4 linked regions of the Schizosaccharomyces pombe genome follow. The gene in region 1 interacts genetically with each later gene. Each region holds a gene or a part of one and is shown on either strand. Other genes may lie near its edges.

Region 1 (5,366 bases):
CAAATTGATTCCGAACTCTTTTAAAAGATATCCATTGTGGGATGTTTCGTCCTTTATTCTCATCTATTAGGGTCGCATAGTTTGAATTGGATGATCGTTCAAAAGCAGTATATGGTTATACTTTAAGCAAATGTGAGAAGTCTTTTCGCTGTATATTTTTCCCTCTCGTGATATGAAAAAACAGTTGTTAAGTTCCACTAGTACTATTATATATCATCTGTGGGGCCTTTATATTTACATGACATGTATTTTAAGTGAAAAATCTTTATGCATATCAGAGTACTGTTGTTATTTGGAATCTACCTATACTTACACTTTTGCATAATGTTACGATCTGGCGTTTATTCTGTGCTTTTAATACTTTAGGCAAGTCGCGCTTGCAACCAATCCATGTAGGAAAATATAGAAAATAAACAATTTCTGTTTATTACTAAGCTTCGTTAAGATTTTGCCGTTCTTCTGTTTAGGTATTGTAATTACTTGTAAGTTGCACCGTTCACGAGTGCCAAAAAAAATACTCAATAATCTGACTATAAAGTGTTTAAAGGTATAAGATAATATACTAACCTAATTCATTATTTTAATTTCTAAATCTATTGCAAACTGGTAAACTTTCTTTCAATACCTGCCAATTCGATAATCGTAAAGGCATCTCGCGCATCAAGGAAAACATGAGGTTTAAAGGATCTAAAGCATCATGAAACTGAAATTTATCTTTATTCAACTAATAGAACCTATACTATTTGAAAGCTCAAATTCTACATTATACAGTTTTATAACGATAGTGCAGTAAATCCGATACAGTAGTCTGTTGTTCATGAACTCATTGTTGATCAACCTGTTCATAGCAAGTATGGCGCTAAAAATTAAAATACCAGAAACGTCTCAAGTAAGCTTTATTCCTTTAATTTTTACTTACAACTAGTCTTCTGATGAATATTCACGATGGACGGTTTACCATATTGAAGTAGCATTTCCGAATGGTGGGAAACATGTTGTATTTCGTCGGTTCAATGAATTCGTTGCTTTGGATGCTCAAATTCGGCCAAATGACTACAACAGTAGACTTTGCAAACTCCCCTCTAAATCTTGGGTTTCTTCAACTGTGACAAATGAAAAGTTACGTGAATCTCGACGACTTGCTTTACAAGCTTACGTTCAATGCCTTTCAGAAACGCCATGGATAAAAATGCCTGTGGTTAAAAAATTTCTAAATATTAAAGATGAATCGGAAGATGAAACACAGGGTCAGTTTTTGGGTCCGACAGATTGGATTCAAGTATTTCAAGATTGTAAACGTAATTTACATATGTACCGAGTTGACTTAATGAGTGGAAAAAGCATTACGATAGGAGTTCAAACAAAGAATGTCTATGCAATAAAGTCGCTAATGGATAACCTTTCAGAATCGTTAGACAAATTAGAATTAGCAAATGCTCTTGGTCCAGGAGAAATCCTTCGACGAAAAGATATGTTAGAACAGCTTGGTTCTGAATTCTTGTCATTTAAACGGTTAGTTAAAAATGCAAACAGCCCAGTCGCTCCTCCTTCTGCCTCATCTCAATTAAACTCTTCTAATCCTAGTTCTCCCTTTCGCCCATTATCTGCATCTACTGACAAACAATCTAATACCTCTTTGAACAGAGTCCTTGGAAAAAACAGAATGCCAGAGACACAGACAACAAAAAAGCTTGATAATGTAGGACTGTACAACATGCAGAATCAAACTATGGAAGATCAAGATATGCAAGCAGAATCGTTATTGCCTATTATTCAAAGGCAGAAGGAGCTTTCGAAAATGATTAATCAAGAAGTTGTCGAGCAAAACTCCATGTTAGACGAGCTTTCTAATGAAGCATATGCAAACCAAAAAAAGCTACACAGAACACGAGCTGGCCTTCGCAAATTGGGTTAATATTTGGGTGTTTATGAGTATTTGATTTAATTTCACGAAATTTAATGGAATCTTCTTTTGCAGTTTTGTCTTGTTTTCTATCCAATTCTGCTACATTAGTGATTGTCTTGGATGAGATTATCTGGGCTAAAAATATTTATTATTTGGTGTATTTGCGTTCTTTCCTTTTTTTTTTTTTTTGTTTAATCTTCTTGAAGATACCGCAGTAACCTCTGTGAGTTATATAGGCATGGTTAGTTCGTCCGTCAAGGTTGAAATAATTGTCTCCTTTAATTAAGCTTGATATTAATATACGACTTGTTTAAATTTCAACTTGTTTTGACAGACCCCATTTCTTTTGTATTTTGGTTTGGCTTGTAGTTCCTTTTAATGCATTTAGTGTACTGTGCTTAAGCTCGCTTTCTTTAGATTTTACTTATTGACAGACTTAGACAACTGAAATTCCAATAATGGAATTAACGCAAGAGAATACTGAGGAAAATGAAAAAACTCATGTAGAATCAATTGTAAAATTTGAGGATTCGAATAGAGGCACCATTACTGATTTTCATATCGAGACAGCTAACAATGAGGAAGAGAAAGACGCCAACGTAATTCTCAATAAATCTGTTAAAATGGAGGTTGAAGAAGTCAACGGTCACGTTGATTCTTCCTCAACGGAAACAGACATAGAAATGCAAGTCATTCAACAGCCTACAATACCCAAAAAACCACCCGTATCAGCTCATAGAAGGGGTCCACGAAAACACCGAGGAAATGCGAATAGCCAACTCAATCTGTCTACAGCCGATCATCAAAGACCATTGTATTGTATATGCCAAAAGCCTGATGATGGATCATGGATGTTAGGATGTGATGGTTGCGAAGATTGGTTTCATGGCACTTGCGTTAATATACCTGAATCTTATAATGATTTAACTGTACAGTACTTTTGTCCTAAATGCACAGAAGAAGGAAAGGGTATAACTACTTGGAAAAGAAAATGCCGGTTACGAGAATGCTCGAATCCCACAAGACCTAATTCCAACTATTGTAGTGATAAACATGGAGTCGATTTTTTTCGAGAAAAAGTAAAGCTGAGTACGGTTGAACCTTCTGCTATAAAAAATCTTGTATTGTTTGCAAAAAAAAGGGAAGAATTTCAAAATTTGGGTACGGTGGGACCGACATTGCCAAGCCAAGTTCCTCCTGAAGTTGTGTACAATTTTGAAATTGAGGAGGCCAATAGGCTGAACGCAGAAATTGTGCAATTAAATAAAGAGAAAGAAGTAGCATCTAACAAAAAAATATTTCTTCAGTTGATCAAAGATTCTTCGCGGAGAGCGGTTCTTGCTTACAAAGAAAGAGAAGGTATTAAGAAAGATCTGTGTGGATTCGATTCTCGACTTTTATTCAATCAACAACAAATGAATGAATTGTGGGAAAAAGTTTCAAATGGAGCACCGCTATCTCTTGACATGAGTATAGATCCTTCTCCTGAGTCCACCTGCTTTACAGAGAAGCGAAGATGTGCAAAGCACACAAGCTGGCAGGTAATTTTTACCGAAGATTTTGAGTTGCAAGAAAGTAATATTTTACAAAAACTAAACATGAAGCAAACTGCCAAAGATGTAATGTTGGAGCATCAAAAACAGAGGTGCCTACCCGGGATACAATACGACGGTTATGCTCGATTTTGTCATGAACAGTTATCTCCCGAAAAAATGGCTAATTTATTAAAATAAACAGAAGGATGCATCTTTTGGTTTAATTTACAATTTTGAAGTTTGCTTTAATTTCTAGATCATTTCATGTAAATCACGAGGCATTGATTCGCAAATGTTAATGAAAGAAAAGTTTATATTGCTTGGCATTTGTCTCTTAATTTTGGCTTTAAATTTATTGACTCCCTGTTTCGCAAAATAATGTTGACAGATGGTAATTTGGTTTTTCCTTCTAAAAAGTCACTTTTTAACATAAGGACATACATTCTACACCCTCTCTTTTTATCAACTCATGTCTTAATGGCCTTGAGGTTTTCTCTCTCTTTTGTTTTGAAATTTATTTTATTTTATTTTTTGGAAAACGCAGGCTCCTTGGATTTCACTAATCCTTCTTATTCCAGAAGCTAACGTCACAATGAGACAGAGGATTTCGTGGAGCTATAGAAAGCCAACTTTCTGACATTCCCATTGTTCTTTTTCAAACGAGCACTATGACTTTGGCATCCACCATGCCAATTATTTATTCGGCATCTGATGCCGCAAAATGGAAAGTTGCAGTATCTCCTTACCTGTATCAACTGAGCAATTTGAAGTTACTGTTTACTGGAAAGTTGAATTTTGCAGATTTTTATTATAATACGAATCCATTTGTTGTAGGACTACTTCTCTCATTTATTTTGGGAAATGTGCTTTGGGGAGTGTCTGTTTGGACGAAAAATACATCGCAAGTGGATCGGCTATGGCCAATTCTGCCAACGGCTTTTTCCTTGCATTTTCTGTTTTATGGTTTGGGATACAACATTGCTTCGCGAAGATTAATGATTATGGCATTTTTGCAGACTCTATGGTCCGCGCGTCTTACTTACAATTATTACCGTAAAGGAGGTTATAATCGAGGAGCAGAGGACTATCGTTGGGTGAGAGTTCGCCAAATCATGCCTAAATGGATATATCCATTATTCCACTATTTTTACATTCATATCTTTCAAGTGCTCCACCTATATTTGCTTGCATCTCCCACGTATATTGCCATGTTGGCTGGAAACGAACGAGCATTTGGAGCATGGGATTGGATAGCACTCGAGCTTTTCATGTTTATGTTTGTGCTAGAAATGCTAGCCGACCAACAGCAATGGGATTACTATGAAGCGCGAAATCATTACAATGTCGACAAAACCGTGCCACCTCGGTTTAAGTATGACTTGTTGTCGCTTGGACGTGGTTTCAATGCTACAGGGCTCTTCCGATGGAGTCGCCATCCCAACTTTTTAGCAGAACAACTTATTTGGCTTTCATTTTATCTATTTGGAGCGATCGCTTCAGAATCACTATTGAATTGGACGATTTTTGCATGGCTTGGACTAGTGGGCGTTTTTCAAGGCTCGACCAGACTTACCGAAAAGATGTCCTGTGAAAAATATCCGTTATATCGAGTGTATCAAGATAAAGTCGGCCGCTTTTTTCCTCGATTAGATGGTAGTCATTGGGATATTGTGGATGACGATGCATCATTAAAGGAGGATTAATGGAGAAACAAAATGTTCCTCTATTAGTGATCCATGGATCTCGTTTCATTTTCATTTGTCAATTGGTGTAACAAAACCTTTTGACGTTTTACCCCCTCTCTAAAATTTGGTTCACTGTAATTTATTTATGTATTATTATCTTGTGTATCTATCTTAGTCTATTTATCCAATGTTTTGTCGATGAGTTATGCAAGCTTTATTTATGCAACTGATCCGTGAATT
Region 2 (4,789 bases), on another chromosome or scaffold:
GTATCCCTTAAGATATTGGACACACTGTTCCTTTGACAATTCGTCAATGTCTTCGACTCTTTCTATCGGCGGTAATCCACTACTAACCGGCTCATTACCATTCAGAAATGGTACTGGTGACGCCAAATAACCTTGGTCTGAACGAGTTGCATTTTCAAGCTTTCTTGTCAACATGATCGACCTACATGAGCGAGCATCAATTGTTTCCATTTTCTGATCCATTGAGTCAAGTCGCTGCTCCATAGAGTCAAATCGTTGGTCAATAGAATTAAATCGCTGCTCTATTGACTGAAACCTTGCTTCAGTTTTTTGTTCGAGTAAATCAATTCTAGTGTTCAAACGGATCGTTTCCCTTTTCATTTCAACCATTTCAACTTTCATTTCGGCCATTTCGCCTTTCATAGATGTCATCTCATTCTGCATAGCGTCAAACCGAGAATTCATGTCATTTTGCATTGAGTCCATTTTAGAAAATATTCGTTCGAAAATTCCACCTAGTTTAGTGTTTGCCCATTCATCTATCCAGCGTGGAAATTGTACTTCTCCCGATTGTTCTTCAGAAATTTCCCTTTCAATCGCTAACTTTTTCCATCCTTGTAGCCTTTCATTGCATTCAATTTCATATTTCATTTTACGATCTCATTCCTCAATATATTTTTTTCAAGTGCTTCTCTTTTGTTTTCGTCAATTTCTAACAATGTAGAATCTACAGATCTCTCGTATCTTTCAATGAAAATTTTTAAATCTTCCGCAGAATCATTTGGTGGTGGCAGATTGTAGTCATTATCAAAATTCTCGTTCGACATCATCCTTATTATTTATACAAAACCAGTTGCAATAAACCGCAGTATTCTTTTTAACGATAAAATTTCAATTCACTATAACTATACAAATGATATCTTTTGTAGCCTGCCTTATATGTTTACTAATTGACAAATATTTCTCAGAAAGGGAAATCTTGGAAAATAAAAGTACAAACGTGTGTTGAAAGCAATATTTAATATATGTGTTGTAAGTAAATTCAAATCTCTCAAGTTCCCCTTATATACAACTTTAAACAAAGAATGCTAAGGACAAAGAAAAGAGTTTTTGATGGATTAAGAAACAAGGTAACCTAAGTAACTTCACACTGGGAGTACGTGATACAGATAATGAAAATGGGCTTTATCTGTAAAATAAAAGAAAAATGGCTTATTTGCAGGTAACTTATTACAAAGTTAGATTTATTGAATAGAGGAGTATTTGTTTAAAAACAAACTTCGATTGCAAACATGCATAACAAAGTTAATAGAAAAACATTTCTTTATCCTGCTTTATTGTATTCCTCTTAAGGGATTCTCAACAGCTCTAAATAATCACGAAATATTTAAAGAAAAGGTATATTACTCATTCAAGCTATTAATTGTAAATAATATAACCCATAGCTACAACAAATGCGTTAAGAGGATATAATGTTAGCTACGCAAGTATTTAATTTAACGATACGTAGAACTACGGTGTTTTCCTAGTGATCTATTATATTGTAATTCGCAAGTAATATATAAGTAGCAATTGAGATTGGTATTCTAATATATGGGTTATATTGTTGAATAGATGAATGAGCAAATACAAGACTTGAAAAGTCCTTCAATGATATATTTCTGGTATAGAGTGTTGGCGAAACGACATGAATTCTGAGTTTGACGCTACGCAGAATGAGATTGCATCCATTAAGTTGAAATAACTACTATGAAAGGTGAAATGACTATCATTGGCAGAAAATGAACATTAGTTTTATACGTTGACATTCTTACGGCACTTTTTATTTACAATTTTGCTTACTACTAGTCATCCCGTTTTAACTTTGTTCTTAGGAGTTAATTTATTTTACTTTATTCATTTATTTTTTTATTTTTTTTGAAACTCGTATTATCGTTCAATTTCAGAACATCTTTACTGCTTTGCCTGCCCGGTTGACAAATAAATACGATTTCAAACGAACAATTAGTTTATTATATAATTTTTTACGTAAGTATATGCCATAGTTTATAGTAATACAAGGGAAGCAAAAACAAAGTCTCAATGCGGTGAGTAGTATATAGTAATTCCTGCTTCAGACAAGTCATTAAAACACACATTTGCACTCCGTACACATTTCTCAACACGCCGAATAGTTTCTTTTCATAATCCCCAACATATAACATCACAAGATTTCGTCTAGCATTCTTACCAAAACTCGTACTGTAAATGTTACAGTGAGTGATAGCCGTTAGCTAAGATGACCTGCTGAGACTAAACAAAATCATGAGAAAACGAATAATGTATTTTATATACCTAATATTTAAGAGGGAATCTTGGAGAAAACTGGGTAGTTTGAGAATAATAAATGTTCTTTTCCATCTTTACAAATGAGACGAAGATTTTTGCTCTACCCAAACTAATTAATCTGTTGTTTCAAAATCATTTTAAGTATAGGCTATAATGTAAAACATTGATATTATACAAGAAGTATTTATTACTTATGCTTATGATTTCGTTTGCGATGCTAACAGCAGTGTGTCGTAAGAAACTCACCATCAGCATAAAACAAGATGGCTTTGACTCCAGACACTGTTTCTTCAAAGTTGGCTACTCTAAATGAAACACAAGAAAGTATAACGGGAATAGCGCATTGGGTTATGTTTCACAAGCGTTATGCTGATGAAATTGTCCAAATATGGCTGGAAGCTTTGTATGAATGTATGACTCCTTTAGGAATTTGTTCGATTGTCTAACTAATTTAACCAGCTTCTTCCAACAAAAAGCTTTTATTGCTTTACCTGCTCAACGAAGTCGTTCAACAATCCCGGGTCAAAAAAATATCTGAATATATTGATGCCGTTTCTCCAGTAAGTTACTATCATTATGAGCTTGGAACATCTCCTATATGGTTTAGATTCTAATAATATTTGCATAGTATGTCGTAAACTCTGTAGCTGACGCGTACGCGTCAGTTCCTGCTTCCATTAAAACAAAAATCAAATACGTTTTTGACGTTTGGTGTCAACGCGGCATATTTTCTAAGGAGATACTTTTATCCTTGCAGGAAAGGTTTAATAATGCCGAGAACAGTGGCCATTCTAACTATTACCCCGTTGGCCCTCCGGAATGGGTATGCCGCAATTCAAATAAAATATCAGAACTTTACTAATTGCATAGGCACCTTACACTCGTTTAATGACACAAACTAGTTTATACGCAAAATCTGCTCACTCTACCAAAACTGTGGTAGATGCATTGTATAAATCATACTTGGAGAAACAATCAGATTATTCTGAACTACTCGATAATTATAAAAAGCAACTAAATAAAGCCTCTGAATCATGTAAAGGTAATTATCAGGCTTGCATCGAATCCCGATCCACACTCATTACTTCCTTGGAATCGCTTATAGAAGAACAAAAAAAGCTACTTTCAGAGGAAGAAGAGAGCCTAAAATCTGTTGAATCCATAATTTCTAATTTAGAGAATAAGGAAAGTACAACAGCTACCTCTACCTTGACCGATGCAGGTTTTGGAGATAAAAGTTCTACTGCTGGCAAACATAATGTAGAAACAACATCACCTCCGTCTAGTTCTCCAAACAGTGATGATGCTTATTCTCCTCAAGTAGATTCTTACTCTCCAAGCATTAACAGCGTACCATATACTTCCAATATTGTCGAAAATCCATCTGAAGACAATCTCTCTCCTCTTCCTCCTCCTGCCAGTGGACCCTATTCCCAAGAAGAAGAAGAAACATCATTATTTAAAAGCCAGAGAAAAGAAGAAAATGAAGAGGAATCTAAAGAATTACCAGAAGACTCAGATATCTATGGAAAAGATAGTTCTCCCTCTTCGGACGACTCTAGTGCAGCTGGTCTATATGGTGATAGCTGAAATCCATGAAATGTAATGCTTAGTTTTCATTATTTTTCTTTTTTTTTTTAAACTGTCAATCAATGTGGCAGTCTTAGTCAATAAGCATTTTTAGAATACCTATCCTAACCTTTTATATGCGTCAGTACCTGACTTCATCCTATCGAAGCCGTTTTTGGAATTTTGTATATTTCGAAGAAAGTTGAGCCCTATCTAGGAAGAATGGGCTTTTAATGTCTGAAAAAAAACATTCTTGCGAAGAAAAATCGCTGCAACTATATCCTCTTTCAAATAAAATTCGTCATGTAAATCCGAATATTTCAGCTCTTCCGTCTGAGACTGATATATCTGAATCATTGACGAACGATTTAACTAAACTAGAAATTTCTAACTATGCTCCATTTAATAGAGATTTAGAGACTTTTTCCGATTTAATTTTTGGCTTAACTAATATACAAAAAAAATCATTGTATTCTCTTCAATTAGGCAGAAGTAGAGGATATGCTTTATATTCAGACGAGAATGAGAAATATTTGTGGTCTATAAATACTAAAATCACCTCTACGGAACAAAGGGAAGTACTGCTTGTCAAATCTAATAATAAGAAGTTTGATACTTCCATCGTCCTAAAACATACTCACTTATCATCCAAGTCTCAAAACGAAAAAAAAGCTAGAGTAAAAGTATTTCGGCAAGAAATTTGGGCCCTCAAAACTTTGTCGCATCCATGTGTTGTGCAGCTATTAAATTACTACGTTTCCTCCGCCGAATTAATACTCGTAGAGAATTATTGTATGGGAGGAGATCTCTATCATTACACTAAAAAACATCATTCGGATTTCAGCCTTGAATTTGTTGGGCGAATTTTTTCTGAGTTAGTACATACAGTTGCTTACCTTCATTCCAAATGTTT
Region 3 (5,273 bases), on another chromosome or scaffold:
TATTTTTTAAAAATCAATAATGTTTGAAGAATTTTTGAATGCTTCGTAGATCTAACCATAATGTATAATCGTGTGTATGATACATGGGAATTTTGTTGGCTACATGCTTTGCTAGACAGCCTAGTGGAAAGCGTCTTGTTTATACGTGTGTTAAATAAGCATAGAAAAAGTGAGGAAACGGTGTGACTTTAAGCTACCTAAATAAGACCAAACAAAAAGCAGGGAAATAAATCATGATTCGTTGAATAAGTGTATTATCATAAGTTGTTCAGTATCAATTGTACCTTTTTCTTTTTTTGAAGTTATCGGAAACACTAAAGTGCTGAGTGCTAAAATTATCATTTAGCTATCCTCATCCTCGGTCTCCGCATCTCCTCGATAATTCGGATCGTTTCGTAAAACGTTATTGTCCGACTGATTAGATTCTGCTGGTTCTTCTTCTTCATCCTCCTCCTCATCTTCACTTACAAGGTCCAAAGGAACAATACAAAAGTCTACAAACGTACAAAGCCCTTCTTGACCGACAAGCATGATTTGAATGCTCAAAGTTCCATTTTCATCAATACGTAGGTTTACTTTAGAACCCACTTGTAATGCTTTCAGCGCATGTCTTATTAATGAGAAGCGGTAGGAATAAGTGTTTTCAGAATCAGTTTCAAAAGACTCTAAAACACTTTTCTCGTTTGGATATTCTATTTCCGTAGTGGATAATGCCCCTACACATCTCAATAAGAAGGTTGATTTTTGGGATGATGTATGAATAATTAAATTTTCGCCCATGTTATTGTCTAATTCCACCAAGGCATCATATAGCCAGTTACTTTTCATAATGATCTTCGTGCACAATGTGCTTGCAAGTCTATTGATGTCAACGTCGTCCTCACATTCCATAGTCAACAGTTCACAAGCCGTAGCATAACCAGCCATTTCCTCTACTCTTTATTTTTGTCAGTACAGAATGTTAATGATAAAATCCTTACTCCCATATAAATGGACAGCCGGGTCCATTATACTGTACTTTGCAGATAACGCCTCGTTTGTGCATTATGTTTACAGTGGGTTGATCCCAGGCACTAGTTGAAATCCGTTCTTTTCCATCTGTATAAATTGATAATGATTGTAAAAGAGGTGAAATCATCGTCTGGAACATATATGTATCCCCATCTGAATCACCCTGAAAATTAAACGTTTGAAACAACGACTTATCAAGAAAGGCGTGAGCTTAATGTGTGAGTGAACAATAAAGAAAAAGTGAATGCATTTCAAGAATCGCATTAATATATGAAACTTTATTAAGTAGCTTCAAATTTTTTAACGATCATAGATGTGAGACTCGACTTGTCTTACCCTGCAAAGACTGCGATTCCTCCACTGCAAACCGTAGTCCACGACTTGTGATTTCGATAGTACATTCCTTTGAAAAATCAATGCATCGTAATGTTGACTGAATCTGCTTTAAGCATACTGTTTCTGCTTGAAACATGCGAATTTACGTCCAACAATAAAAAATTGGTTATATGCTACAACTTGAACACCCGTAAATGCTAATCTTATAAATTGATAATTTTTCCTTCTGATATTAAAGGACTTGACACTTGATTACAAGACCAAACGCAGAATAAGAAAGACAGTTCAAGTTAGAAGTTATTTAGTAAAATTCGAAAAGGTGCACAATTTTAAAAGGTATGCAGATTACTAAAGGAAATGAAAATTGAGATTGCTTTTTCTTTTTTAAAAAAAAAAAAATTGTGAAATATTTTATTCTGATATATAAATTTTTGGAAAGCCGTAAAGCTTAATAGACGAGTATTTTATTTATTAATTGAATAGCATCTACTTCTAACTGTCTTTATTTATTTATCTCTCGACACAGAAATTTTATCAAATTAAATACAAGTTTTAAGAGCCATATTTGAATTTACCAAATGATATTCAAAAAAGCTATAGGATCCCAGTAAGTTGATTGACTCAAAACTAAAGATACAATTAAGGATTTGTAGCTTAATGAATTTGATTGTTTATGAAACAAATGGTTCATTTATTAGACAAATATTGCAAATTGCCGAACTGTTTTAGTGATAATAGCTAAATTTAAATTGCTTTAGAAAATCCATAATTGTAATTTTATCATATATACAGTTAGGATGTCATTTTTACACCCTCTTTTGAAAAGTCATTGCTACAATTAAAAGAAAGGTAATACAAGATGGATCTAATTTCTTCCTTATTTAATCAACCTAAAAAATTTCGAGTTAACTGCATGCACTTTATTTAGCTTCTCTTCTCTTAAATAAACACTTTTTATCCTTCTTCCAATCTCTCCTTTCTTGGATATAAGAGTTGTATAATATTTATAAAACAGAGGGGAATTTACTTGCTGTTATTATTTTTTTCCAAGCTTAGATTCTGGTTTTCACTTTTGATACACTTTGTACATGCCTACATCTTACCTAGCTTTTACTTGAACTGGTAAACGAGAGGAATTTTAGGAACGAGTCAGGCGTTATAATTGAATTGCACGATAGTCTTTTCATAAGGCTTTTATTTTACTTGATGCGGCTATAAAATATAAGTTTGTCAAAATTATTTATTTTGTATCAGACGGTTTTCATATATTCAATTTGAAAAGGAAACTGGCGCATAAAAAATACATTATTCTAAATGGATGTAGATTCAATTTTTAAAAATACCGAGGAAACAAATAAGAAAAGGAACCCTGAGGAAGCAGACTCTTTGGAGCCAGCTAGTAGTCGCAGAAGACTCGCTGAAGAGAATAGCGATGAGGAGAATGAAGAATTTGACGAGGAAGGAGGTAGATTTTTTGGAAGTGGGCTTAAAAAGAGTGAAAAAACCGTTTTAGACTTTTTAGACGAACAGGAAGCCCAGGAAGAACCTGCTTCATTGACTCCTACTGAATTGAAGCGCATGGTAGTACGACTTGAAAAAACAATTAATAATAATCAGGAGTTACGCATCAAGTATTCTACTTCTCCTCAAAGGTTTATAGAATCAGAGGCAGATCTTGATCTGGAAATTCGAAGCTTCAATGTGCTTTCAGAGTATCCTATCCTCATACCCATTTTCCTTAAATTAGATTGTGTTTCCACGTTTTTAGAATTAATGAACCATGAAAATGCGGATATTACTATTACGGTATTGGAGCTATTGATAGAACTGACTGACGAGGATGTTGACCCAGACGCATTAAACTCCTTATTTACTTCCCTTATAGATTCTGGTTTGCTTCCTTTGCTTTCAAATACAATCAAAAGGTTTGACGAATCTAATGAGGAAGACCGACATGGAGTATATTGTGTGCTCTCTCTTATGGAGAATTTATTATCTGTGGACAATAGCATTTGTTCAATAATAGTTGAAAACACAACATTGGTAGAATGGTTACTGAGTAGATCGTCTGTTGATGAAACTTCTATATCAACTAATTTGCAGTACGCTGTTGAAATTTTAGCTATCATTCTCGCTAATTCAAAAGAAGCTAAATTGAAAGTGTGCAACTTGAATGGGATTGATCTTTTGTTGCGCCGGATCAGTCCTTATAGGCTTCGTGATCCAACCCAAGGATCAGAAGAAGAAATGATGGAAAACGTGTTTGATTGCTTATGTAGTCTGGTTCAAGAAACGAAAGGAAAATCCCTTTTTCTAAAAGAGGAAGGTATTGAATTATGCATACTAAATATGAAACATAAAGGAAAAAGCCGTTATTCTACAATCAAAGTTTTGGACTATCTTTTATTTGGGCCTCTTTCCACTCCTTATTGTATTCGATTTGTAGAAGCAGGCGGTTTGAAATATATTTTTGCTGCGTTTATGAAAATATCTGCAGCCGATACTCTGGAACATATATTAGCTATTCTGGCATCTTTATTTCGATCTTTACCTGCTGACACCGTAGAAAGGGTGCGCTTTTTACGGAAATTCATTGAAAATGACTTTGAAAAAATGAAACGCCTTTTCAAAATTTACGATCGCTTGAGAATCCAACTCAAAGGTATTGACCAAAGCAGAAAACTTGATTTTAGTCCTGATTCGGAGGAAAAGAGTACCAAATGGTTTCTCCAACAAATTGATCATGGACTGTTTCCTTTCCAATCTACAGTTCTTATCCTTTCGTGGTTATGCGTTGAAAATACAGTGACATTGAAAAAAATTAAGATGCTGTTTTCCGAAGCATCCATTCCAATTGATGAGTTGACTGATGCTCTAAAAAATTATCATGAAAACCTTGAAGAACCGACGGTGGAGTCCGAAGAGGTGGAGGCCAACGACTCTTACTACAGAATTGACGAAAAACCTATGGTTACTGTTTTACTTGGATCTATGCAAGCATCTGTGTAATAAAATCATGACTTGTTCTGATAACATATTTTCAATTTAATGAGTTGTACATTTGTTATTATGGAACATAAAGAGTGTTTGGTATTATAGAATTATATATATTTTTAAACAAAAAAACTAAAAATTAAACACTAGCAGTTCTTGATATGCCAGCATATTTGGAAGGCACAAAAGATATTCGTGTAAAAAATTAAAAGGTGAAATGTATATGTTATAATCAATAAAACTTCGGAATAGACGTTTCGATGATAATAAATGTAAATGATTAATCGGCTAAGTGTGAATACTCAGTTTCACGAAGTTTTTTCTGGAAAAACTTTTCCAATCTATCGGCATTTTTATAGTAAGTCGTGTTGGAGTCATTGTAAGAACGGCAATTATCAAATATATATTTTGCATCCCGAATAAATTCCTCTACAGACTCATACTGGTTGTTACGCAACCGAAATTCCATAGTCGAAAGGTCCATGGGGTGTTCAATAACTTCGTAATAATCGGGTACATCCTCTTTACTAACCGGTTGCATAAAGGGCCAGGAAGACGGATGATTTTGCATTTCTGTAAAAAGCATTTCCAAAACGGCAAAAAAAGGTTTAGGTCTGGGCTTTTTGGAGAGCTCTTCCATTTCCTTGCACCATCCAACTTCCATCAACCCAGGAACTTGAGACGGCTCTATATGAGCTGGACCATCTTTGAATACGTCTAAACCAGGATAAACAACGTTCGACCGAGTGATCCTGTTAATTTTGGAAACAACAGCAGCTTTCTGAATAGCCAAAATCAGATTAGCTTCTAAATACTTTATTTTTGGAATCATGGTGCATTGCATAAGTGTGCCACCTTCGTAATCCTTAATATAGCCAACCCATATAGACTTGTCAAGAGTAATTTCCTTAGTAAATCCTTGTTTTTTAAAA
Region 4 (8,735 bases), on another chromosome or scaffold:
ATGCTGATAATTACGATTAAGAATCTTCTAAGAAATTAAGTTCATGACAATTGCGTTTCATTTTCCCAGGCACCTTCATCTTTGCCTCATACACTTCAATGTTTTTGTTTAAATTCCTTTACATATTAACTACGCGTCTCTTCTTTTGACCATTTGAAATGATCATCATTTGAACAATCATGGGTTGCTATTGTCTATAGTAATGCAAATAGGTTTTACATTTTCTAGCTTATCTTCATTTCGCATATACAGGCAGTACCGTTTCGCCGGTAATTGTTAGAATATAATCAATTCAGGCGTATATAAGTATCATAGACCTAATTTACAGATATGGACAAGTTGAAGTTCTTTAAACGTAAAAATCTTCAACACAAGAATATCTATCTGCACCGTATTTACAGAACCAGCAAAACCTTAGAGTCATGAAAGAACCTGTATTCGATCGTTTTGTTAATGCATTAAAATTATACTGAGGGATGAAGGCAGTTTCGGAGATATACACTCTGGCAGAAGCAATATCTTAATTGGCGGCAACACCCTTCTTTTTTAACTCTGCTTGTAATTGAACAGAAAAATCATCGTCTCCAATGTCCTCATCGTCCCAATTGTTTTCCCATAGCGTATCATCTCCAGTATCAAGCTCTGTATCTTTCATAGGCCAATCTTTTTGATGTTAAATAATTATTTCTTTAAAAGTACTTACTTTCTGTTGCGAAATCTTCAAACTCATCATCATCCTCAAGGTCTAAGCATTATGTTAGTAAACGTCTTTAGGCCAACGAAAAAATCATAGACATTAGCATATCGAATAAATAGTACTCGAAAGCCACTCTAAATAATTTGTAACGTACTTTCTAAGCTTGGTAAGGCCGCACGAGACATTCTAATTTATAAACGTGATTTGGTGTGAAAGGTGAACCCTGCCGTACTGTGATGTTTGAATGAACTTTTCACTGGTAACGATGTCTACTGAGTTACACTATTATATTTACAAACTGCATAAAGTTGCAGACTAATAAATAGCAGTTTGCCATTGATATTTCAATTAAAAACAAATTGTATTACTGGATTATTCTTATCTATGCTGACTCTATGTTCTGAATACCGGAGGATTTCCTAAAGTCAAGATTTGAAATGCAGGGTTTATTAACATTATAATTAAAGGTACAATAAGAAACGATTTTTAGACTAGAATTTAGTGATCTTTGAAATGTAGCAATCAAAATTGAAGACTGTAAAAGATAAACATATTCGAGCTTCAAACCTAAAATATTCCGGATGAAAAATGAAGAAACAAATTGGCTTTTGTATGACAGGCTAAAATCTACTTCATCTTTTCATACATGCTGATCAAGCTGGTATATTTAACCTCCTCCTTCGGCCAAAAGTAACATGCAAACATCCATAAATTCTTCCTAACAGTAGCTTTTTCTTCGGAGGGTGTATCATTGACAGTTTTTTCAATATGCTTTCCAATCGTTGTCAAACACTCAGTAAGTAACTTCACCAACTCCGCGCGTCCAAGCCCACTAGAATCTTTCCGAAGTCTTTTCATATGCTTACGGACTGGATACATCAGTTCTTTGCAGCGTGCCTTTTGTTCAGCATTTAGACTTACATTACCATCGTCTTTTTCAGATTTGACGGGTGAAGCTGTCTGGCTGCGAGACTGTTCCCTACTAGGTGTTTCAATCTTCGTGTCTTTAGAAGAAGGTTTCTTACGAGATTCTGAAATTGCAGGCGATGGTGTCCTAGTTGCACTCTCTATTTTTTGCGCAGATTTAACGTTAGGCTTGCCACTTTGTCTGCGATTAGCCGTCTGCTTCTTAGGTTGAGTTTTTCCATTAGTACTAATAGCGGGGCTTGATTTTATGCCAAAATTTTGGTGATGCTCACGTAAAGCACTAAGTAGGTATTCACCTCGACGAACCAAATGCACAGCTGAAGGTACCTTTTTCTCTTTATTTTCTTTATCTTTGGGGACAGAGTTGTCTGTTTGTTTTGTGTCTTCTAAAAAGATCTTGTCTTTCATTTTGAGTTCTGGATCATCTCGAATTTCTAACCAAGCTCCAAATCCATGCTTACAAATTCCAGAAAGCAACATGGAATCTTCTCGGGGTCCCCACTGACAGGACCAGCCGTGAACAGATCTAACGTGCATTGGAATTTGGAAGTTAGAATATCCTGACGTTGGCATAGCATCATAAAGAATATCAAGATCATTTAGCCTTTGTACCAATGTTTCAGCATTTATATTTTTTACACCTTTAAATGTAATGAGCAGCGCTTTACGAGATGACTTATTATTAGACTGATCATTAGATAAGTCCTTCTCGGCTGCTGATACAGCCTTGCGTGAAGCGGTTACTAAGTCAGCTGCAATCTTTTTTATTACGTGAGCATCTTGCGTAGTAAGATCAGCATATTTAACAATGTCATTGTAGCGATGCTCAAGGCTTCCATATCTAATCATAGCACGATAAAGCAACCGAATTTCCTTTTCCAGTAAAACCTCATCTTTAAGCATTTGCTTTTTGCTCTTCCTTTCAGAAGTTCCAGAGTAGGATGGGGATTCCACCGCAGAGCTAGGATAAGGACGATTACCTCGTCTACTACTAAGCTCAATTTCTTGCTTAAGCGCTTCTTCCTCTTCTCTTAAGCGGTCTTCCTCTTCAAACTTCTCACGTTCAGTTAGGGGTATAATATCATCCCAAGATACATCTGCCTTATAGTCTGTAACTTCGAACTGTTTCAAAAACTCTTCACCACCCATGCTGGCTCCACCCACATCATTGGAAGTATCATGATCTTCGGCATGTTCCAAAATTTCATCTAAATTCATATCCTCAAGCTTCTTTTGATTATTCTCTGCTTTAAACATATTAGAAGCTCCAAATTTCAAAATAGCGCTAAGCTCTTCAGCAGAAAATTTATCATTTTTGGAATTCTTTTGCTTGTCTGTAACACCTAATGAAATAATTGCATATTCAAGAATCATTTTACGACGTGCACGTTCCAAGACATCTTCTTCAATCGTATCTTTGGAAAGAAGCCTGTATACCATAACATGATTTTTCTGACCAATGCGATGCGCACGTGCCATAGCTTGTAAATCAGCTTGAGGGTTCCAATCGGAATCAAAAATAATAACTGTATCAGCAGTCATTAAATTAATACCTAATCCTCCAGCTCGTGTGGATAATAAAAACACAAAATCTGGGCTGTTTGGTGCATTAAAATGATCTATTGAAGTTCTTCGTACAGCAGCAGGGACAGTGCCATCCAGTCTCTGATGTGGATATCCCCTCAAAGAAAGATAATCACCAAGAATGTCAAGCATACGAACCATTTGACTAAAAATTAAAACGCGGTGGCCGTCTCGACGAAGACGTGATAGAAGTTTGTCAAGTAACACCATTTTCCCGCTGTTCATAATTAAACCTTTTAAGACTTCATCTCGTCTTCCTTGAGAGTTTATTTTTTGCATCCATGACTCTTCTACTCCGTCAAATAAGTAAGGATGATTACTTGCCTTTTTCAACTCCACAACTATGTTTAGTAAAGATATTTGACTTCCCGAACTTATGCTTTGAGTAAGGACACGGTAATTGCGAGTTAAAATATTTTTGTACCAGTACATTTGTAAGTCAGAAAGCTCAACACGAAGGATACGTTCAGACTTAGAAGGAAGAGATTTCTCAACGTCTTTCTTTAATCTTCGTAAAATGTAGGGTTGTAAATGCTCCTGTAAACTTCTAATATAAGCTTCCTGCTCCTCATCTGGTGCTTCTAAATTAATTTCCTCACGAATCTCAAACTTTCCTGGCATCAGGAAGTCTACCAAAGCCGCAAGCTCACGAATATTATTTTGTAATGGTGTTCCAGTTATAAGTAATCGATTTGAGTTCTTGAACTGAGAAAGTGCTTCATAAAGTGACGATTCACTGTTTTTTAATCGATGAGCTTCGTCAATTGCCATATATTGCCATTTTATATTACTAAGCACCGAGCGATCTTTGAGTACATACTCATAAGTAGTTAGAAGCAAGTTGAACTTTATTTTCTGAGTTCCATCAACATAAAATTCGTAATCCCTTATTACTTGCCTTGAGGTGGTATTTCCAAGGTAACTTATACAATTCATATCAGAAGCCCAAAGAGCTAATGTCTCTTGCCAGGCAGGAACTGTAGAAAGTGGAACAACTACAAGAAAAGGTCCATGCTGTCTTAAAGAATGTGCAAGATATGAAAGAAAAGCCACAGTTTGGACTGTCTTACCGAGACCCATTTCATCGGCCAAAATCCCATTTTCATTTTTATGCCAAAGATATGCCATCCAGTTGACGCCTGTAAGCTGAAAGTCACGAAGCTCACCACCGGTTATATACGAAGGCTGTTGCTCCAGTTTTCGATACTTAGGACGCGAATTACCATAGTTTGTACCTCTTGATGGACTAAGAGCACTTTCTTCTCTTTCTTGAAATGCCTGAATTTCCGTGGCAGCAATAGGCTCAATAATTGAGGAAGCTTCCCATGTGCAAAAATCATATAACAGCTGCTTCCATTTCACTAAGTATTCAACTGAGCCATCGGAGTTTAAGTGTTTGGCAACAATTCTGTCTACCTGCTTATATTCCTCGTAATTTTCACGCTTTCTCTCTTTTTCAATATCCATTGCTTCAATGTCTTCACGCGTAGTGGTCGGATCTTCTCGAATTTCTCGATCAAGAAGTATGACTTGCTTAATGTGATTGTCGACCTTTTTAGATCCTCTGATCATAGAAATGTTATTGTAAGGTTCCCATGTACAATGAAGATGAGAAAAATTAACCCATTTAATTAAAAACTCATAATCTTCAGAAGGTGTAGAGCCATCGTGTCCTTCAATAAGTCTATGATCTAAAACGACATCTATAGCTCGTGTATCTTCAGGTTCTTCAGAAACTTCAGTTGCGTACTCATACATCTCTTCTTCCTCTTCTTCTTCAAACGATTCAAAATACGCGTCTTCGTTATAGTTAACACCTTTACTATTTCTAGAAGAAAATCGAATTTCATCTTGAACGTAGGTGTTTGATTTTTTTTGCCGAGATCGCTTTTTGGGAGTTCCGCCATAAGAACTATCATCTGACTCACTTTCCTCAGAGGTGACAGATTCAGCTTCATCGTCTAAATCGCGAATTGTTCGATGACGAGAAAAAGATGAACCATTTCTAGTACCTTTACGATGCTTGGATGGGAACACATCTTCTTGATCATCAGTGTCTACATATCTTCCTGGATTACTACGAGTGCGACCCTATAATGATTAGCATCTAAGTAAGTTTCATAATGAATAAAATAATGTGAGACATACAGAACGTCGAAGACCGTAAAGCTCTGGGTCGAGCCATTCAGTAGATTGTAATTTGCGCTTGGAGGCTACGCCGCTATTCGAAGGGGATTCGGACATTTCCTGCTTAAGATTAGGGGTTTCAGTTTGAACGTGATCCAGCTGCTCAATAGCCTTAGATGATGACAAAGCAAGTGCTATAGCACTTGTACTCATATCAACTAAAACAGAAGTTAGAACCAATTTCGCAAATTTCTTATTGCAAAACTTTTCCGAAATTGAAATGCTGAATAATTGTGAAATATGTAATAGGCTTCCATCCAACTTCTAGTTAACTGAGAACTGCCAGATGCCACTTTAAATGTGAATATTTATAACTCTTGACTAACGACTATATTTAGACGAGATCCGAACAGATTTAAATAAAGAACACATATTAACTCCCGTATCTTTTCGATAGGAAGCACTATATCGTTCATTTTCGAAGAAAGAGCAATTTTGAATAAAAGGTCGAATGCCACCAAAAAGATTGTATCACAAGAGAAACAAGCAAAACATAATAAGAAAGAAGGTTTTTAAAAAAAGAGAGCTACATTCAGTGCATTGAACAATGTAGGTTTAACAAAAAAATGCGACACGTGGATCATTCACATATTCAGCGTCAAATTCGGAAAACGAACTGTGGCTGCAACAAAATTTAATAAAAATTTACTTACGCGTTATTAAATAGAACGCTTATAGCAGTATTTTGCTATTTTAATAGCAACTTGCTAGTTTTGTTACAAAAACAATTTTTGAGGTACTGGTGGTAGAGGTTCAAATAGCTACAGGCTGTATCCGCTACTAAAGGTAATCAAACTGTATGAATACAAAAAGCGAGTTGAGAGAACATTAAAATGCATGTGTATTAAACGCACTAACAATTAAATTTCTAACTTGAATACTAACGAATTTCACCTTCTTCACTAGATTCTGCATCATCAACAATATTTTTAACAGCCGGTTGTGTAGCGGTAACATGAGAGATTGAATTTTCCTGTACATCCTGCATCGTATTAATTTCATTCCTATTACTTTTTGACGCTAAGTCAGCAGAATATTCCAACCTTCCATCTTCGTATCCGCTATGTGGTCGGGCACTATTCGCTAAATAACTTTCATCTTTACCGACATCATAATAACCTCTTCTGTTTTGGTATTGCTTTTCCAATTCCCGTTTTTCTCGAAGCCGTCTTATATATTTGTCAAAAGCAGCCATCCTGTGTTCCTCGGAATGGAGCGCAGCAAATTCCGGTAGAATAGAAATTAAAGGTCTAATTTCATCGTAAGAAGCATCGGCAGAAATTGGAGGTTTAAGGTATTTAATGGCACTTCTGAGATTATCAATTTTCCTTCGAATGCGTCGTTCATCAGCACGCTTTTCCTCAGCTTTTTTGTGGATCGCTTTATCACGTAATCGATTAACAACTTCTTCAATAAGGTCTTCAGTTACTGCCTCACTTTCCTCTCGATCTTTAAGCTTTTCTGATAACCTTGCTATAATTTCAGGAATATTAGATGTGTCATCCACAGATATTTGCAATACTTCAAGACAGTCCAAAACCAAATTACGCTTTTCCCGATACATATTCTCCAAATCAACGATCGTATCCCAAAATAAATCTAATGGTGTAGAGCCAGATTGCCCTAGTAAGTTAAGATATCTTGGATCATCCTTGATTATGGGATATAATTCTTTCCACTTCGTGCGTAATGTAATCTTCTTTTGCACGCGTAAGTCTTGTAATAGCGCACGAAAGGCATCACGATTTTTCCTTTCTATACGATGCTTTTCTTTCTTCTGCTTTTGTTTGTCAAGAATATATTCGCGTTCCAAATGCTTAACATGATCTTCAAATGCTACAAGAGCATCTAATTTAGAAAGATATTTCATATTTGAATTCCTTGTATACCTTGGATCTTGATCAAATTTTGCTTGCGCAACGCTCCAGCGGGTGTAAGGCTCGAAATTCATGTTTCGCAAAAGCGAACAAAAATCATCCAATGCTTCCTTTCTGCGATCCTTTTCCAACTGCTTTTCATCCTCTAAAAGCTTTTGCTTATATTCAAAAAATAGTTGTTGTTGTTCAGTTTCAGAAGAAGTAGCGTTAAAAGCAGGATGAGAAGAAAATTCATTCTTCACAGTACGCCACAAAGTATAAGAATGAATTTTATCACTACTTTTTAGCATCTCAATAAACTCCTTCCTAATCTTAGTTACTCGGTTCTTTTCTGCATCACTTTGATCGGTCAAATAGTTTAAGATGTACGCATCGAAAGCACATTTCCGATGCCAAGGATCCTTCATGACATAATAGCCCTTAGCATCACAAAGCTCTCGGACAGTCTGCTCCCAAGTCCAGCTTGGGTTGACATTATGAGAGTCTAAAAATTTAAAGAAAGCGCGCTCTGCGGCTTCATAGGTATCATAGTTTTCGTGCTGATAATCATTAGAACGTTTTTGGCGCTTATCCTTTTGTTGAACAAAGTTTATAGTTCGTTTATGACTGCCTTGTGAAATTTGTTGGCTTTGATCTTTAGCTGGTTGACTTGAAGGAGCAGCAACATCCGGACCATGCCGTTGAATGCTTTGAACAGCTGGCTTGTTGTCATTGCTTTTGATTTTAGACGACAAAGCCTTTTTTTGCTGTTCCGGTTCATCAACAAGGGCAGCTTTATATTCATCAGGAATATCCCACACTGATTCACGGGTATTGACATTATACCAATACTTTTTGCCATCAGCGGTGGCATATTCTTTCCAAGCTAGTTTCGAAAGCTTTTTTTCAAAGTCATTCATTAACTCCTCTGGTTTTTCCCAAACACTTTTGCGCGTTACTGAGTTGTAGTAATAAACTCGAGAATCTTCTGTCTTCACTTCATGCCAGTCAGAGGCCACAGTCTTGGAAGGAGCTGCTGACGGCCCTTCCTGATTAGACGTGAATCCCTCAGTTTCATCGTACTCTGAAGTTTGCCATGGAGGTGCAGACATCTTCACATTTATGAATAACTCCCCTTAAAATTGGGGTTGTGGTTTAAGCCAGCGTGTAGAGTTACACTCACTGTTCACTACAAACGGGTGTGGTGGTCGAGTCTATATGTGGGGGACTCGTTGTTTCACTGTATTATCAACTACGTAATATCTAATTGATAATAGAGATACGTTAGACTGTGGTCAGTTTAGAATACATTTACTATATTGTTGTAAACAGGTCTTGAGAATAACAGACTTCAAAGTGAGTTAATTTACAAGCGATGCTATAGCCGTTGCTAAACAACTTATGACTGAGTTGAAATATGGAGTGAGTTAAGCTGTATCAAGAGAAATTAAACTAATTTTATACAAGAAGTAGAAAAAGCTATA

The links.
Region 2: mutations in spf1 (region 1) and rhn1 together harm fitness more than expected from each alone (negative genetic interaction), as found in Schizosaccharomyces pombe (3 studies listed by BioGRID, with this or other methods).
Region 3: mutations in spf1 (region 1) and SPOM_SPAC1952.06C together harm fitness more than expected from each alone (negative genetic interaction), as found in Schizosaccharomyces pombe (2 studies listed by BioGRID).
Region 4: mutations in spf1 (region 1) and hrp3 together harm fitness more than expected from each alone (negative genetic interaction), as found in Schizosaccharomyces pombe (2 studies listed by BioGRID).

What each region holds. Positions count from the first base shown.
Region 1 is NC_003421.2:362,477-367,842, reverse strand, and holds spf1 (Set1C PHD finger subunit Spf1), read left to right. Parts: upstream 1-2,360; 5' UTR 2,361-2,364; coding exon 2,365-3,639; 3' UTR 3,640-4,083; downstream 4,084-5,366. Other genes in the region: vsl1 (SNARE protein Vam7), read left to right, coding at 854-889, 926-1,915; SPOM_SPCC594.04C (steroid oxidoreductase superfamily protein), read left to right, coding at 4,110-5,144. UniProt on the Schizosaccharomyces pombe protein: The Set1 complex specifically methylates 'Lys-4' of histone H3.
Region 2 is NC_003423.3:1,032,968-1,037,756, forward strand, and holds rhn1 (RNA polymerase II transcription termination factor), read left to right. Parts: upstream 1-2,554; 5' UTR 2,555-2,570; coding exon 2,571-2,718; exon of another isoform or gene 2,719-2,766; coding exon 2,767-2,867; exon of another isoform or gene 2,868-2,935; coding exon 2,936-3,130; intron 3,131-3,177; coding exon 3,178-3,897; downstream 3,898-4,789. Other genes in the region: serine/threonine protein kinase Ppk27, read left to right, coding at 4,110-4,789.
Region 3 is NC_003424.3:4,974,829-4,980,101, reverse strand, and holds SPOM_SPAC1952.06C (uncharacterized protein), read left to right. Parts: upstream 1-2,452; 5' UTR 2,453-2,661; coding exon 2,662-4,356; 3' UTR 4,357-4,472; downstream 4,473-5,273. Other genes in the region: checkpoint clamp complex protein Rad1, read right to left, coding at 343-937, 981-1,221, 1,348-1,483; SAGA complex histone acetyltransferase catalytic subunit Gcn5, read right to left, coding at 4,622-5,273. UniProt on the Schizosaccharomyces pombe protein: Probable spliceosomal component involved in the activation of pre-mRNA splicing.
Region 4 is NC_003424.3:5,375,240-5,383,974, reverse strand, and holds hrp3 (CHD family chromatin remodeller Hrp3), read right to left. Parts: upstream 6,152-8,735; 5' UTR 6,049-6,151; exon of another isoform or gene 5,560-6,048; intron 5,554-5,559; 5' UTR 5,549-5,553; coding exon 5,357-5,548; intron 5,300-5,356; coding exon 1,325-5,299; 3' UTR 1,062-1,324; downstream 1-1,061. Other genes in the region: Maf-like protein Ifs1, read left to right, coding at 1-20; proteasome receptor/ubiquitin ligase adaptor Dss1, read right to left, coding at 521-663, 704-745, 852-882; U1 snRNP-associated protein Prp40, read right to left, coding at 6,276-8,363.